Macaca fascicularis: one gene and its partners. The protein of the gene in region 1 interacts with the protein of each later gene in a pairwise test. Links are inferred from orthologs where the notes say so. Each region holds a gene or a part of one and is shown in the gene's direction. Other genes may lie near its edges.

Region 1 (5,770 bases):
CTGTAATCCCAGCTACTCGGGAGGCTGAGGCACAAGAATTGCTTGAACCCGGGGAGGAGAAGTTGCAGTGAGCTGAGATCATGCCACTGCACTCCAGCCTGGCCAACAGAGCGAGACTCTGTCTCAAAACAAACAACAAACAAACAAAAGTAGGTCTGCTTGCTCCAGGCCAAACTTTCTTTTTTTTTTTTTTTGGAAACGGAGTTTCTCTTTGTTGTCCAGGCTGGAGTGCAGTGGTGCAATCTCAGCTCACTGCAACCTCTGCCTCCCGGGTTCAAGTGATTCTCCTGCCTCAGCCTCCTGAGTAGCTGGGATTACAGGCGCACGCCACCACACCTGGTTTATTTTTGTATTTTTAGTAGAAATGGGGTTTCGCCATGTTGGTCAGGCTGGTCTCAAACTCCTGACCTCGTGATCCGCCTGCCTCAGCCTCCCAAAGTGCTGAGATTACAGGCATGAGCCACTGCACCCGGCCTCACATTTAATTTTTTTTATTTTTATTTTTTGAGATGAAGTATCACCCTGTCACCCAGGCTGGAGTGCAAGGGCACGATCTCTGGTCACTGCAACTTCTGCCTCCCAGTTCAAGTGATTCTCCTGCCTCAGCCTCCTGAGTAGCTGCAACTATAGGGGTGTGCCACCAAACCTGGCTAATTAAACTTTTTAAAAATTAATTAATTATTATTTTTAAAGACAGAGTCTCACTCTGTCACCCAGGCTATAGTGCAGTGGTGCAGTCATAGCTCACTGCAGCCTCGAACTCCTGGGCCCAAGTGATCCTCCTGCCTTAGCCTCCCAAGCAGCTGCGACTAAGGTGCATGCCACCAGGTCTGGCTAATTTTTTTTGTACTTTCTGTAGAGATGGGGGACTGAGTCTCACTATGTTTCCCAGGCTGGTCTCCAACTCCTAGGCTCAAGCAATCCTCTCATCTCAGCCTCCCAAAGCGCTGGGATTACAGGTGGGAGCCATCCCGCCTAATGTTCCTGTTTCTCTTGTCCAGAGCTGGAGTCCAGCCTGATCCCCACCCACAGGTTGTAACCAATGAGCCCTAAGAGAAGCGCTGGCTGGCTGGGCGCGGTGGCTCACGCCTGTAATCCCAGCACTTTGGGAGGCCGAGACGGGCGGATCACGAGGTCAGGAGATCGAGACCATCCTGGCTAGCACAGTGAAACCCCGTCTCTACTAAAAAATACAAAAAAATTAGCCGGGCGAGGTGGCGGGCGCCTGTAGTCCCAGCTACTCGGGAGGCTGAGGCAGGAGAATGGCGTGAACCTGGGAGGCGGAGCTTGCAGTGAGCTGAGATCCGGCCACTGTACTCCAGCCTGGGCGACAGAGCGAGACTCCGTCTCAAAAAAAAAAAAAAAAAAAAAAAAGAAGCGCTGGAGACCAGGAAGGCCCAGATCAGGGGTAGGGGTGTTGGGTCCTCCCCATTGGGGTGCAGGCAGAGAGGCGAGGAGGAAGGAGACCCTTCGTGACTCTCAGCGAGGCTGTGAAGAGGAATGTCCTGAAGCCACAGGAGGTATGGAAACCCCGTTTCCAAGGCTGGGCCCAGTAGCTCATGCCGGTAACCCCAGCATTTTGGGAGGCCGAGGCGGGTGGATGGCTCGAGCTCAGGAGTTCGAGAGCAGCCTGGGCAACATGGCGAAACCCCCGTCTCCAAAAAATACAATAGCCAGCGTGGTGCACCCGCCTGTAGTCCAGCCACTCTGGAGGCTGAGGTGGCAGGATCGCTTCAGGCTGGGAGGCAGAGGTTGCAGTGAGCCGAGATCACCCCACTGCATTCCAGCCTGGAAGACAGAGCCAGACCCTATCTCAAAAAATAACAAGGAAACCCGTTTTCGATTTCGCCCAGGCGGAGGGGTCGAAGCAGCAGATGGGCTTGGGAGGTCTCCCGCCCCTCCTCCTGGACCTCCCTACTCCTGGGCTTTTCCAGGGACAGCACCGTGGTGGCCCCGCCCAGCGCCCAGGAGACGGGTGAAGCCAGCGGCGGAATGGGCGGAGTTCGACTGTGAGGCAGGTGGAGGTGAGACTCCGGCGGTGGGGGCGGAGTCTGGACGCGGGGCGGGGGCGGAGTTCCGGCTGGGGGGCGGGGCGGGGCGGAGCGAGATCTGCGGGATTCCGGCTTCAGGGGTGGGGCCCCGGCCTCTGGGCGGAGATCTGCTGCCGCGTTCCACCCTTCCGGCCCGGTGTTCTATCCACCGCCTCCACCTTCCATCCGGCGCCGGCTTTCGGCGCGACGGTCGCCGCGTTCCATCGTCGCGCGGCCCTTCGGGCGCCCGAGCCCGCAATGTCGGGCCCCAACGGGGACCTGGGGATGCCGGTGGAGGCGGGAGCGGAAGGCGAGGAGGATGGCTTCGGGGAAGCAGGTGACCCGAGGGGGCTGCTGGAGCAACCTTGCTTTTTCAGGGCTGCCCTCCCGGGAAGGGGAATCGGGATGGGGTCTTGGAAGGGAACAAAGAACCCACCCCATTCCGCCCCGAGTGGGTCCGGAGTTGTAGGTGCTGTCTCGGATGCAGGGCGAGCACCCGCGAGCCGGTCGCCAGCTCCGTGAGAGCTGCGGGTCACCAGTCCCCTTTTACAGATGGGGAAATTGAGGCAGCTTCGGGGACACTCGCCCTTGTGGGCCTTGCTCCACCACTTCCTTCAGTCCTGGGGGGAGACCGAGGCACCTGAGGCAGGGTTGAGCTTGGCCGGCTTGGCTTAGCGGAGAGGCCGGGCTGGGGCGTGGGGTTGGGGGGGCGCGGGGGCGTCGCTCTGCCGAGTCAGCATCCCCAGCCACTTGGCTTTGCTGGTGTAGCCTCGCAGCCTTGCCAAATGTCAGCAGCTTACAGAGCAGCCTTTTGCGTGCTTACAAGTGCAGGGGTGGGGTGTGGAGAGAGAACCATCAGCTCCCTTCTCACATTCTTCAGCCTCAGTTTCCCCCTCTATAAAATAGGAATAATGATTAGTGTCTCCTGCACCGGGATGTGTCAGCATTAAATGCAAAAAATAAATGGGAAATGCTTAGCAGGTTCTAGCATGCAAGAGTTCAGTAAATGGTTATTGTCATTATTCTCTTTGGTAAAGATTGGCATGTTAACATACACTGAGGATTTAGTAAATGTGGTGTAAGTATGGCGCATGCTCTTTGTTTTGTTTGGGGTAACAGCTTTATTGAGCTATACAACTTACCCATTTAAACTGTACAGTTCAGTGGGCTTTTGTGTATTCCCAGGGCTGTGCATCCATCACCACAATAGTTTTAGGTAGGTTTGCATTGGGCAATGCTGTTGGGAGCATCAGGAAGAGCTTCCCAGGAGGTCACATTGAGTGGATGCTGGCAGACAGGACTAAGGACAGTGGTGTCCCAGGCAGAAGCAAAGGCTTGGAACTGGGAAGTACCCTTGACACAGATAAAGCCTGGCCTGGAGGGGTGTGGGGCACCTGCCTCCCCAATTCCTCCTCCCAGCCTGTATCCCAGGACACAGAATTCAAAATATTGATAATAATGATATCCACTAAGTACTTGCTGTGGCCAGATCCTGTCTGAACTCTTTTTTTTTGAGTTGGAGTCTTGTTCTGTTGCCCAGGCTGGAGTACAGTGCATGATCCTGGCTCACTGCAACCTCTGCCTTCTGGGTTCAAGCGATTTTCATGTCTCAGCCTCCCAAGTAGCTGGGACTATAAGTGACCACCACGCCTGGCTATTTTTTTTTTTTTTTTTTTTTGAGACGGAGTCTCGCTCTGTCGCCCAGGCTGGAATGCAGTGGCCGGATCTCAGCTCACTGCAAGCTCTGCCTCCTGGGTTTACGCCACTCTCCTGCCTCAGCCTCCCGAGTAGCTGGGACTACAGGCACCCGCCACCTTGCCTGGCTAGCTTTTTGTATTTTTTAGTAGAGACGGGGTTTCACCGTGTTAGCCAGGATGGTCTCGATCTCTTGACCTCGTGATCTGCCCGTTTTGGCCTCCCAAAGTGCTGGGATTACAGGATTTTTATATATTTTTAGTAGAGACAGTGTTTCACCATGTTGGCCAGGCTGGTCTCGAACTCCTGACCTCAGGTAATCCACCCGCCTTGGCTTCCCAAAATGCTGGGATTACAGGCGTGAGCCACCACGCTGGCCACTGTCTGAACTCTTGATATGTTTGAATCCTCACGACCACCCAGTTTTCCCTTTTTTCCAGAAAGGTGCAACAACTTGCTGGGGTAAAGCAGAGCTGGAATTCAAACCCAAGTGCCCCTGACCTCCAAGTCCAATCCTGAGTTTCAACTCTGTTACCAACCTGGAGGATCCTGGGCAGGTTCCTTTGGAGGCCTTGGTTTCCCTAGCTATATACCACGAGGGGGTTGGACTTTAAGATGCAGCCAATTTCCCAGGACTCTGTCCTCTGTGAGGGTGGCTGGGAATGGGTGCCCTTTCCCAGAACACAGGCACAAGTGCACCCATAACCCAGATAGGCTCCTCCAGCTCCTCCACTGGCTGCTTCCCTCTTGGTCTCAAGCTGGCAGCTGAGTGTATCTGAGTCATGGGCTGGCTCAGAACTGGGTCCCGCAGTGGGCACAGGCCCAGACCTTGAGTCCTCAGGGACACTGTGTTGCTGAGCAAGGCAGCTCTGGAGTGGCCGTGGAGGGGAGGGAGTGATGGTTTCTAGTGGAGATCAGGGAAGACTTCTTGGAGGAGGCATTTTGAGCTGGTCCTTGATGGGCTGTTGTGGTTGAGGCATTCTAGGTTGCAGGGATAGTTGAGCAATGGCGGAGAGGCTGGAAAGTCAGAGGCTTCATTCATTCACTCACTCAGTCATTCAACAAATGCTTATTGCAAAACTGTGAGGGTGCCAGGGAGCCAGCAGCGAACACAGGACCATTCAGCTTTCATGGGGAAACAGAACAGCACTCAGATAAGCACAGCAGTCAATCCTGGAGAGGGTCGTGGAGGGCTGAGGAGGGCTAGGGGCTCAGCATAGAGGCCTGATCCAGTCTGGGGCATTGGGTGGGCTCCCGGTGGTGACATCCATACTGAGACTTGAAGGATGAGTGGGACTCATCCAGGAGGAGAGGAGGGAAGGAAGATGGGAGGACCCAGCACATTCCAGGCAGAGACAGCAGCATGTTCAAAGGGCCTGAGGTAGGTAAAGGCAGGTGTGAGAGAGGAAAGGAAGAGGCAGGGAGGCAGGGCTAGCTAGGAGGCAGGGGCTGGGAGACTCCGCTGGGTGTTTTACCCTGAGGGAGCCACAGAAGGGCTGGCAAACAGGGCCCATCTGGGGACAGGGGCCTTGAATGCCCAACTCAGGAATGTGGGCTCTGGCCACTAAGCAGCTGCTGCAGAAAGTGCAGAGACTTGGCACCTGGCCGGACTTCCCATGTAGGACACTGGCTTGCCACCCTGTGACCACCCTAACCCTAGAAAAAAGGATGCAGTACTCAGGTGTCATTCATTCAAAGCCATTCCTCTTTTGGTATCCACCCATTTTCCAGACGGTGACACTGAGGCTCAGGAAGGAGTAGGGACTTGCACAAAGCCCTTTGGGAAGCAGGCTGGGAAACGGTGGAGGGAGGGTGGCCATTAGCCCCAAGGAGACATAGGATCTGGGCTCTGTCTTTCGCCTTCCTCCCAGAATACGCTGCCATCAACTCCATGCTGGACCAGATCAACTCCTGTCTGGACCACCTGGAGGAGAAGAACGACCACCTCCACGCCCGCCTCCAGGAGCTGCTGGAGTCCAACCGGCAGACACGCCTGGAGTTCCAGCAGCAGCTCGGGGAGGCCCCCAGTGATGCCAGCCCCTAGG
Region 2 (5,274 bases), on another chromosome or scaffold:
GCTATGGCCTCCCAAAGTGCTGGGATTACAGTCCTGAGACACCAAGCACAGCTTTTTTTTTTTTTTTTTGAGACAGAGTCTCGCACTGTCACCTGGGCTGGAGTGCAGTGGTGTGATCTCGGCTCACTGCAACCTCGACCTCCTAGGTTCAAGCAATTCTCCTGCCTCAGCCTCTCGAGTAGTTGGGATTACAGGTGCCCGAGACAACGCCCGGCTAATTTTTTTGTATTTTTAGTAGAGACGGAGTTTCACTATATCAGCCAGGCTGGTCTCGAATTCCTGACCTCGTGATCCGCCCGCCACGGCCTCCCAAAATGCTGGGATTACAGGCGTGAGCCACCGCATCCGGCCCTATTTTGTTTTTATGTCAAATACTATAATTAGAAATAATGTATATTAGGTTTCCATTTCATGCCTGTGACCTGCTACCAGGAGAGAAAAAATGAGGAGTGAGAGTTAGGTGAAAGGGTAAAGAAAGACAAGAAAAATTGGGAGGAGACCAAGATCATGTCTTTTGTGAGAATATGGATGGAGCTGGGGGCCGTTATCCTTAGCAAACTAATGAAGGAACAGAAAACCAAATACCACATATTCTCACAAGTGTGAGTTAAATGATGAGAACTCATGAACACAAAGAAGGGAACAACAGACACTGGGGTCTACTTGAGGGAGGGGGGTGGGAGGAGAGAGAGGAGCAGAAAAGATAACTATTGGGTACTGGGCTTAATACCTGGGTGATGAAATAATCTGTACAACAAATCGCAGTGACACGACTTCCCCTATGCAATACATCTTCACACGTACCCCCGAACCAAAAATAAGTTTTTAAAAAATTGGGAGAAGGAAGAACTCGGCAGAGGAGGGCTAGTTTGCAGGTAATTCCCCTGAAGGACTGCCTGGCCCCTCCCTGGCTTTCCACAACATTTTGTGTTCTTTAAAACATTTTCCCCCGGCCAGGCGCTGTGATACTAGCTCACGCCTGTAATCCTAGCACCTTGGGAGGCCGAGGCGGGCGGATTGCCTGAGCTCAGGAGTTCGAGACCAGCCTGGGAAACATGGTGAAACCACTTCTCTACTGAAAAAAAAAAAAAAAAAAAAATTAGCCGGGCATGGCGGCGTGCACCTGTCGTCCCAGCTACTCGTGAGGCTGAGGCAGGAGAATTGCTTGAACCCAGGAGGCGGACGTTGCTGTGAGCCGAGATCTCACCACTGCACTCCAACCTGGCGACAGAGTGAGACTCCTTTACACACACACACAAAAATTTCCCTCAAATAAGTTGAGATAGGGGGGAGGTGTATTGTTACAATGCAAATCCTTTCGCATTAAATCCTTTAATAGCTCTCAGTGTGGCCTGCAGAATAAAACCCCAAATCCTTAACATGTCCCAGTTTGGTATTTTCCTACGCTTGGTCTACCTGGGCCACCCCCTTCCAGGTTCTTTAAGGGCGGAGCCTAGCTCTTTTCTGCCATGTGGCCTTACAGACTGGTTCCCGGGACACGAACTGGGTACTTCTCCCTACCCAAGCTTTCGTTCTTTATTCCTGGCCACCCCCTCCCCCGCTTCCATTTCTCTGCTCTCCTGTTCATTCCTTTAGAGCGATTACTTTCTGTGAGTAGACATCCATTCGCGTGCATTCAGATCTATTATCCAAAAGACAGAGGCTCATCCGTCTAGGCAGTCAGGCTCCAAGAGAGGAGCCCAGTCGGTCTGACTCCCGGAAACTCCGTGCACTGGGTCAGCCACATAGTAGGCGTCTACTGGAGACTTTGTTTAGGTCAGGGAGTCAACGCAGGCAGCAGCTGAATCAGGAGAGAGTCCCCAACGCAGACAAAGGGGCTCCTGAGACCCTTCGGGGCGCTGAGGCCCAGGTTTCGTCTCCCTCTGCTGCAGCAATGCCGTCGACTCAAAGGCGCTCAGGGCTGGGGGACTGGTTCTGGCAAACAGCACAACCTCGCCCGAATACTGGTCCGCAGTAACTCGATCTTTCCCTTAGGCGGCGCTTCGGGTCGCAGGCGCCCAGTTCAGGGCGAGGCATCACGGGATTTGTAGTCTCCGTGGGCATATACCCACCGCGCTTGCGCACCGGTGAGGCGCGCACCGCCCCTCTCCACGCCCCTATCAGGATTCGGGTCCTCGTAAGGAGCAGTCCAGGCGACAGCGTTCCAACCTAATACGCCTCTCTCGCCCGCCGGGGACAAGCCGGGCTGGAGAAAGAATCCGATCTTCGGAAGCTGGCGCCGTGCCTTGGAAGGCGGCCGGAATCCGCACACACCCGCCCCGGAAGTGAGCGGCTCCTGGCGCGGGGCATTGTGGGGGGCGTAGTCTCTTTCTCAGGCGGTCCTTCGCGGCGTCCCCGGGGCCGACTCCCGAGCGCAGGCGGGCAGCCAGGCGGGCGGCGCGGCGCGGGCCGGCAGGAAGCGTATTCTGGGCACGGGGCGCCGGGCGGGCCGGCTGCGCCGAGCGGCAGTGGTGGGATACCACCCAAGGCCTCGCGCGGCGCCGCCCGTCGAGGGGCGGGCGGCGGCGGAGCCACTGGGCCGTCGAAGGGCGCAGGAGGCCGGTGGGCCGGGCCGGGCCGCGCGGCGCAGCCATGCCTGGCTTTACGTGCTGCGTGCCAGGCTGCTACAACAACTCGCACCGGGACAAGGCGCTGCACTTCTACACGTTTCCAAAGGACGCTGAGTTGCGGCGCCTCTGGCTCAAGAACGTGTCGCGTGCCGGCGTCAGTGGGTGCTTCTCCACCTTCCAGCCCACCACAGGCCACCGTCTCTGCAGCGTTCACTTCCAGGGCGGCCGCAAGACCTACACGGTACGCGTCCCCACCATCTTCCCGCTGCGCGGCGTCAATGAGCGCAAAGTAGCGCGCAGACCCGCTGGGGCCGCGGCCGCCCGCCGCAGGCAGCAGCAGCAGCAGCAGCAGCAGCAACAACAACAGCAGCAGCAGCAGCAGCAGCAGCAACAGCAGCAGCCGTCACCCTCTGCCTCCACTGCCCAGACTTCCCAGCTGCAGCCGAACCTGGTGTCTGCTTCCGCGGCCGTGCTTCTTACCCTTCAGGCCGCTGTAGACAGCAGTCAGGCTCCGGGATCCGTGCCGCCGACGCCCATCACTCCCACTGGAGAAGACGTGAAGCCCATCGATCTTACAGTGCAAGTTGAGTTTGCAGCCACAGAGGGCGCAGCCGCTGCGGCCGCCGCGTCGGAGTTACAGGCTGCTACCGCAGGGCTGGAGGCTGCCGAGTGCCCTATGGGCCCCCAGTTGGTGGTGGTAGGAGAAGAGGGTTTCCCTGATACTGGCTCCGACCATTCGTACTCCTTGTCGTCAGGCACCACGGAGGAGGAGCTCCTGCGCAAGCTGAATGAGCAGCGGGACATCCTGGCGCTGATGGAAGTGAAGATGAAAGAGATGAAAGGCAGCATTCGCCATCTGCGTCTCACCGAGGCCAAGCTTCGCGAAGAACTGCGCGAGAAGGATCGGCTGCTTGCCATGGCTGTCATCCGCAAGAAGCACGGAATGTGAACTGGTGCCCCGGCGGCCTGCTGGACTCCCAGACCCCATCCAGCCAGGGGACTGCAGGCCATTGTTGAACTCCTCTATACTCCTGGGGCACTGGTTGACAGTACTGAGGCTTAAGGCAGCTGGACTCTCTTGCTGGTGACCTGGCATCCTCAACTGTTTCCTCCTGAAGTGGAAGCTGGGGCCTTAGACTCTGCCCTGGTGACACCAGCAATTATGACTTTGTCTACCCTTCTTCCCCAGTTATTGTTGCAGATTCTGGTTAAGCAGAGGCTTCAGAACCACTGAACTTGAAACTTACCCTCTAGGGATGCAGGTGATATGTCCAGGGACTATGAGTTTGGAATAAACCATACCTTAAGGTTGGTCAGCAGTCAGACAACTCTAATGTGTGTAGTGATAAGAGATGCAAGTAACATCAGCTCTCCTTTTCATGCTTTTCCTTCCCAGGTGCAGCCTGTGATTCTGATGGGGACTGGTAAATCTGTGCCTCTGCCTCCTAGGATTTATTTTCCCAGGAGACCATTTACAAGGGGATCTGGATGACCTGCTGATGGAGATCCAGCTTGCCAGGGATTTAGGTTTATCCTGTTTTGTTTGCTACTGGTTACAAATTCTATTTTCTGTACAATTAGTCAGACTAAAGTTTTCACTGTGTTTGTTTGGCAAAACAAATTAAACAAAAAGTAAGGTTTTTATTTGGGTCTCGCCATTTTATTTTTACAAAAACATAGTTAAATGTCCTTGAAACATGGGGAAATAGGCCTCAGCCTATTTGAAAGACCAGGCTGACCCTGAAAGTAGAGATGCTTCAGTGACCAGGTTTTTCCAAAAATGGACCCTAAGCACATGGATCCTGGCCTTACAAGGTCCTCACAGAGTTCCTGGCCCAGCTCACCCTAAAGAGTTTGGAAACTGCACCAAATGGGCCCAGTTTGTCCGTGGGTTATCTCCCTGTATCCTTTCAACAAGGACCAACTGCTTACTAAACTATATTGTGATAGTTCGCCTCTGAGGGTTTTGAATTCTCAGCTGGGATTGAATTTTGCTCACCATGACATCCCTTAGGCTTAGCACAGCCTCTGGTATGCATGTGCATGCAGTTACTCTACGAACCAGTAAGACCACAGCTGGAGCTAGCCAAAGCTGCTTCAGGCACAAGGACTCTTGTATAGATACCTTGGCCTTGGTACACCTTTGGTGTGACAGATCTGTATCCACAGGGGGCATTAAGAAGTTGGGAGGTGTGATCCCTTGACTCATTTTCTTGGCTGCCTCTATTTTTTTTTCCTTTTTTTTTTTTTTTTGAGATGGAGCTTTGCTCATGTTGCCCAGGCTGGAGTGCAATGGTATGATCTCAGCTCACTGCAACCTCTGCCTCCTGGGTTCACGCGCTCCTGCCTCACCCTCCCGAGTAGCTGGGATTACAGGCGCCGGCCACCACATCTGGCTGATTTTTGTATTTTCAGTAGAGACGGATTTCACCATGTTGGCCAGGCTGGTCTCGAACTCCTGACCTCAGGTGATCCGCCTGCCTCTGCCTCCCAAAGTGCTGAGATCACAGGTGTGAGCCACCTGCCCAGCTTCTATCTTTTCTTAAATTGGATATCGAAGGGGCAAGGATGACATTGTTTTTGTCTGTAGCTCCAAGTAATTTAGCTCAAAGCCAGTGTCTCAAAGTGAATGCCTTTAAAGCTATGGGTTTACTGTGGGTGGTGGGGTACAAATAGAGACTTTCAGACCCCATAAAATATGACT
Region 3 (5,639 bases), on another chromosome or scaffold:
GCACAAGATATAGGTCATAAAAACTTTGCTGATAAAACAGCATGCAGTAAAGAAGCCAGCCAAATCCCATCAAAACCAAGATGGCGAGAAAGGTGAGACGTCTGGTAGTTCTCACTGCTCATTATACACTAATTATAATGCATTAGCATCCTAAAAGACACTCCCACCAGCGCTATGACAGTTTACAGATGCCATGGCAATGTGAAGAAGTTACTCTATATGGTCTAAAAAGGGGAGGAACACTCAGATCTAGGAATTGCCTACCCTCTTCCCAGAAAACTCATGAATAACCCACCCCTTGTTTATCATATAATCAAGAAATAACTATAAGAATCCTTAGTCTAGCACCTCCAATGGGGGTGTGTGCACCTCCAGTTCTTTCTTGACAAGATACAAGAGCCCTCTCCTGGGGTCTGGATCAGAACCCCTTTCCAGAAACACCATCTCATGTTAAATTATGAATTAAGAACACTGAACATGAAGAATATTTAATTCAAATTAATTGAGTAAACACGTACAAAATTAAAATATAACATTTAATAAAAACAGCAAGATTGAGGCACAAGCACTTCACAAATACTGGTTTCCCAGAATGTCTGAGGAGGTGTATAGAAGTTAAGAATACGTCCTCCAGCCAGAGAGATCTGTGTTCAATCACACTATTTAAGTTAGAGTACTTAGCTTCTCCAAACCTCAGTTTCTTAACTTAGATGGAAAATGAGGACAACGTAAGCACCTATTTCGCTGGATTGTAAGGAAGAATAAACAAGATAATGAATAGTATTTGGCATAAAATCTTTCAGAAAAGTAGTAAAATTGTCATTCCTATAAATCTAACTAATGTCTTTAAAATTTATCTCACAAAACCAGTATATTTTTATTTTGTACTGAGCTATTTATTTTACCCAAATTGGGAGTTTAAAAAGAAATTCATTACTTATTTTCGAAAGGAAAATTTACCATCAAGTATAGTAAATTTTTTTTTAAAGCAGCGTTAAAAAAAAAAAAAAAAGAAAGATGAGAAGCACTGGTACAGATAGTTGGAAATGTCATTTAGATTTAAATCTACAGCTTCTTAGGAAAGTTAGTTAGAGGTGTATCGCACTCCAGTATGGCTATGAGCAGATGAGCAAAACTTGCACAAGTAAGCGTGGTAAACACCAGAGACGGCGCTTTCATGGAAGGACACCCTAGGTAACCAAGCAAGTGACAATAGTACAGGTGAGTCCTCGGGTACCTTCTCTCTCCACCCCCGGCAGTGGCCCGGACAAGCACTAACCTCTCCTCTCTAGAGCCTTCCCTTTATACTAGCTCCACAACCATCAAGTCCCACCATCTGCGAAGGGAATGGTGCTACAGGTAAGGCTGGCGGGGTCAGAGGATGCCGAGACCTCTTGTCAATTCTTCGCTCGCCCCCAAACGAGGATCACGGCTGCGCGGCTCTCACTCTACCAAGACAGATTCTGATACTAAACAAGGCTAAAACTTTTTGTTTTTTCCTTCTTACAGAAGGCACTACCCTGGACGCCGCCTACAAACGCCTGAAGAGAAGGCAGGGTGTTTCCACTTTTTCAGAATGGGGCCAGGCCCTACGGCCCCAATAGCAGAAGCTTCTCTAACCCAGACTGCTGCCCTCAACTCCTCCTAATACGCTGACCCACAGCTCGACCTCACCTGGAAGCGGTTCCGCCAGGGGATGGCTTAGGAAAACCTCATGAAGAGCGGCCCAGCGAGTGACGCCACTAAAGCCACAGTCATGGTCTACCTCGTTCAGGCCACCAGCTCGTACGCGCCTCAGCCACTGCGCCTCCCGCCTCTCGGTCCTTCCCCGCCGCCCCGGTACCGTCGCAGCCTTCCGCGTTGCACGCCGGGAGCGCCTTACCTCCTCTTCTCAGGGACTTCAGTTCCCAGCATGCACAAACCTCAGGCACATCTGCACTCTGGGATTTGGAGTCCTCGTTCCACGCCTTCTCATCATCCTGAACACCGAGTCCTGGGACTCCGGCGGAGAATCTAAACGTAAAGCATCACCCACGGTCGTGAATTGTAGGCTCTCTTTGCATCCGGGATCTTCTTCTGGCCCCGGCGGAGTTAGGGATGGTGTCGCTTAGCAGCCGCTGCCGCTTTGGCTTCCTTGGGGACCATTTGGCTGGACCCAGAGTCCGCGTGGAACCGCGATAGGGATCTGTCCAGCTTGGTGGTTGTGGTAGTGAGGGACCTCCGCTGGTTGCCAGGCTTGGTGTAGGTGGGTGGATCCCTGTAAGCAGGATCAGCGAGTCACTCCACGCTCAGGTTCTTTAGCCTCAGGGCCCGTGTGCCGCAGCGCAGCTACCCCGTCCCTTCCAGCCTCGGGTCCGTAATCCTGCCTTACTTCGGTTCCGGTTTCCGCCGCACAACTTCACTCATTCCAATTGTTAATTTCTGCTTTTTTTTTTCCAGCCCCAATTCTGCTTCTCCAAATCAAGGATCATTGTCAGCCTTCCACAGACCCTCGCGCTTGCCAAGATTAGGGTGTTCGCGCGCGTTGTGGGTAGGCGGTGTGGAGGAAGGGACCCAGAAATCTTAGTCCTAACTTAGATTAGTGTTAGCAAGGAAGCCGTCACATTTTATTTAGCCGGTACACTCTCTGACAGTTTGTGCCGACTGCTATTTTTGATCAAGGCTATTTTGCCCACTTGTCTGTTTTGTGGCTAAGGCATAGTTCTTTGCTAACATAAGAAAGTTATAATGAAATAATCTGCAAAAAATGTAGGCTATTAGAAAACCAATAATGCTGTGTACCTTGAAAATGCTAATATCCACCTGTTTTGTTACAGAGGTGGAGCACAGTGAAAGAATTCAAGATGCCACCTAATATAAACTGGAAAGAAATAATGAAAGTTGACCCAGATGACCTGCCCCGTCAAGAAGAACTGGCAGATAATTTATTGATTTCCTTATCCAAGGTGCTTACTTGGTCAATAATAATAGATATATACATTAACTTATGATTATTAATAAAATATGAATTTTTTTTCCAGAAACAACTATTAATTGTCACAATCTGGAAGAGTTCTTATATTTTGCTTAAAGGTTATAAAATATAAAACAGTTGCTTTTCTGTTTACTTAGGTGGAAGTAAATGAGCTAAAAAGTGAAAAGCAAGAAAATGTGATACACCTTTTCAGAATTACTCAGTCACTAATGAAGGTTTGTATGTAGTAGGTTTTAACGATAGGTTTGGCTATTAGAGGAACTATAAAAATCTGTTCTTATATAAAGTAATCTTTGTGAAAATACTTGGTAATATCTACATCACCCCTCAAAAGTGCAATATATTTAAATGTAGATTAAGTATTTTAGTGTGTAAAACATTGCTAGTTTCTACTTAAAGTTTCTAAAAGGGTATGTAGGGGAAATAGAATGAGTATGTTGAAAAATAACATAAGGAAATATATCCTGAGGTCCAAATGACAAATGCAGACAATGACTGCTATAGGGATTTGTTAAGAGGGGAAGTGATCCAAGAGGTGTCAGAAGACTTCACAGAGGATGAATACTGAGGAGTAGTTTTAGGTAAGTGGAAGGTAATGCAGTGGTAAGATAGTAAGGGAATTCTAGAGCTGTTGGTTACCATAAATAAATATTGAGGATAGGAAATATGTTTATTCTTTACATTTGAGGAAATGCGGTGCAGCAAGTTTGTAGCAGGCTGTAGAGAAAACAAATCTTGGGTAGGTACTTTGAGATAGGTTCTTGAGGTCATTAAAGGTGTATTTTATGCTGTCAGCAATTGAGAAGGCAATGAAGGTTTTCGAACCACAGTTGATAGGTACAAAAATAGGCCTTAGGAAGGCAAAACTGAGTCTATTATATAGGACAAACTGAAGGAAATCGGAGCTTTGCAAACATCACATTATAGAGGAGTTTAAACCTGAAATTATGCATTAGAATAATAGCAATTGGAACAGAAAAAAAGTAGTGGAAAAACATTACAAAGAGATATGTTGCTTTACTGGATATAAGACTTGAGGACTTGAGGTAAAAGGGAGAATCAAAAATGTTTCATGCTATTAAAAATCTAGAAATTGTCGTCTTAAGTAAGAAAATTGCCTGGCATGGTGGCTCACGTCTATAATCCCAGCACTTTGGGAGGCCAAGGCAGGAGGATTGCCTGAGGCTGGGAGTTGGAGACCAGCCTGGATAATATAGTGAGACCTTGCCTCTACGAAAAAATTTGCTGAGCATGATGGCACACCAAGCATGATGGCATGCCGAGCATGATGGCACGCCGAGCATAATGGCATGCACCTGTAGTCCCAGCTACTCAGGAGACTGAGATGGGAAGATTGCTTGAGCCCAGGAGGCAGAGGTTGCAGTAAGCTGAGATTGTGCCACTGCACTCCAGCCTGGGTGACAAAGTGAGGCCCTATTTCAAAAGCGAAAAAAAAGGAGAGAAAAAATTATTTATTTATTCAACAAATATTTACTGAAAGTCTCCATGTGCCAGCCATTGCTGGCACTAATGAGCTTAATAAAACAAAATTTTTATTTTCAGTGCTTACATTCCAGTTTAAAGGCATATTGAAATAAACTTTTTTTAAATGTTTAGATGAAAGCTCAAGAAGTAGAGCTGGCTTTGGAGGAAGTAGAAAAAGCTGGAGAAGAACAAGCAAAATTTGGTAAGCACCTTGGAAAAAGTTTATTATGTTATTAAATAATGAGTTCCATTTGTTCATTAAGCTGTAGAAAATTAAATTCTATAAACTGTATATATTCAATTTATTTTTAATATATAACATTTATTTAATAATACATATTTCTAGACTCCTGTTTTATGGATCTGCCGTATAATACTTTTTGTTACCTTATAATCATGATGGACTCTTTTAAAAGAATTAATTTTGTTATTAAAATTTATGTAAAAGTTTGTTCTGTGGTAACTAATCAATTAAAACATTTGTCTTTTTTTTTTTTTTAATAGAAAATCAATTAAAAACTAAAGTAATGAAACTGGAAAATGAACTGGAGGTATGTCTTTTTGTGTTCCCTAGGATGTAATTGTCATTAATTTTATTTTGAATTGTTTTCAAATTTTAAAATTATTATTGGCTGGAAAAATGATAAGGATGATTGTAATCATGGTTATTTGTTTATTCAGTATATGTTCTACATGCCTATTATGTGCTATATATATATTGTACTAAGGATTGAGCATACGGTTGTGAACAAAATAAAAAGCAGTTAACTGCTGAATGGAGCTTACAGTCTTGGGAATTATACAGAAAGATTACTAGTAACTGAGGTGGAGGGTGGGTGGGCATTTGAGGAATAATTACCAAAGGGTGTTATAGAAGTAATTTTTGACAAAGCTGAGGGCTAAAATATGAATATATTGTTGAGGAACAAAATACATAGAGACTTCTGAGAAGGTAGGAATGTAATGCAAATGGATCAGCCTTTGAAAGGAGGAATACCCTTTTCCTTTGTGTTAGGAGAGGAGGAAGAATGGATGAGGGGAGGAAGAGTGAATGTGTATAGAAGCTTTTATGTTTGTAGGCATAATGCCTGGAAGTTGAGAGGGTGGTGATGACATCATCTGTTTAAAAGAGTGGGAAATGGTGTGGTCACATTTTAATGAAATTAGATAAAATTTGAAA

What was found.
Region 2: the proteins of BBLN (region 1) and THAP11 interact in a two-hybrid assay, tested with the Homo sapiens proteins (2 studies listed by BioGRID and IntAct). The link is inferred for Macaca fascicularis from reciprocal best matches to the Homo sapiens genes BBLN and THAP11.
Region 3: the proteins of BBLN (region 1) and CEP290 interact in binary tests that used the Homo sapiens proteins (3 or more experiments, as listed by UniProt). The two-hybrid records come from large-scale screens. The link is inferred for Macaca fascicularis from reciprocal best matches to the Homo sapiens genes BBLN and CEP290.

What each region holds. Positions count from the first base shown.
Region 1 is NC_088389.1:15,824,961-15,830,730, reverse strand, and holds the start of BBLN (bublin coiled-coil protein), read left to right. Parts: upstream 1-2,194; 5' UTR 2,195-2,288; coding exon 2,289-2,367; intron 2,368-3,127; exon of another isoform or gene 3,128-5,092; coding exon of another isoform or gene 5,093-5,101; intron 5,102-5,596; coding exon 5,597-5,769; 3' UTR 5,770-5,770. UniProt on the Homo sapiens protein: Essential for intermediate filament organization in intestinal cells, interacts with intermediate filament and regulates intestinal lumen morphology.
Region 2 is NC_088394.1:63,892,429-63,897,702, forward strand, and holds THAP11 (THAP domain-containing protein 11), read left to right. Parts: upstream 1-2,357; 5' UTR 2,358-2,592; coding exon 2,593-3,519; 3' UTR 3,520-3,878; intron 3,879-3,966; 3' UTR 3,967-4,214; downstream 4,215-5,274. UniProt on the Homo sapiens protein: Transcription factor, which has both transcriptional activation and repression activities. Also modulates chromatin accessibility.
Region 3 is NC_088385.1:95,075,556-95,081,194, reverse strand, and holds the start of CEP290 (centrosomal protein of 290 kDa), read left to right. Parts: upstream 1-2,279; 5' UTR 2,280-2,530; intron 2,531-2,816; 5' UTR 2,817-2,843; coding exon 2,844-2,945; intron 2,946-3,111; coding exon 3,112-3,189; intron 3,190-4,591; coding exon 4,592-4,661; intron 4,662-4,963; coding exon 4,964-5,010; intron 5,011-5,639. Other genes in the region: protein O-mannosyl-transferase TMTC3, read right to left, coding at 1,883-1,914. UniProt on the Homo sapiens protein: Involved in early and late steps in cilia formation. Its association with CCP110 is required for inhibition of primary cilia formation by CCP110.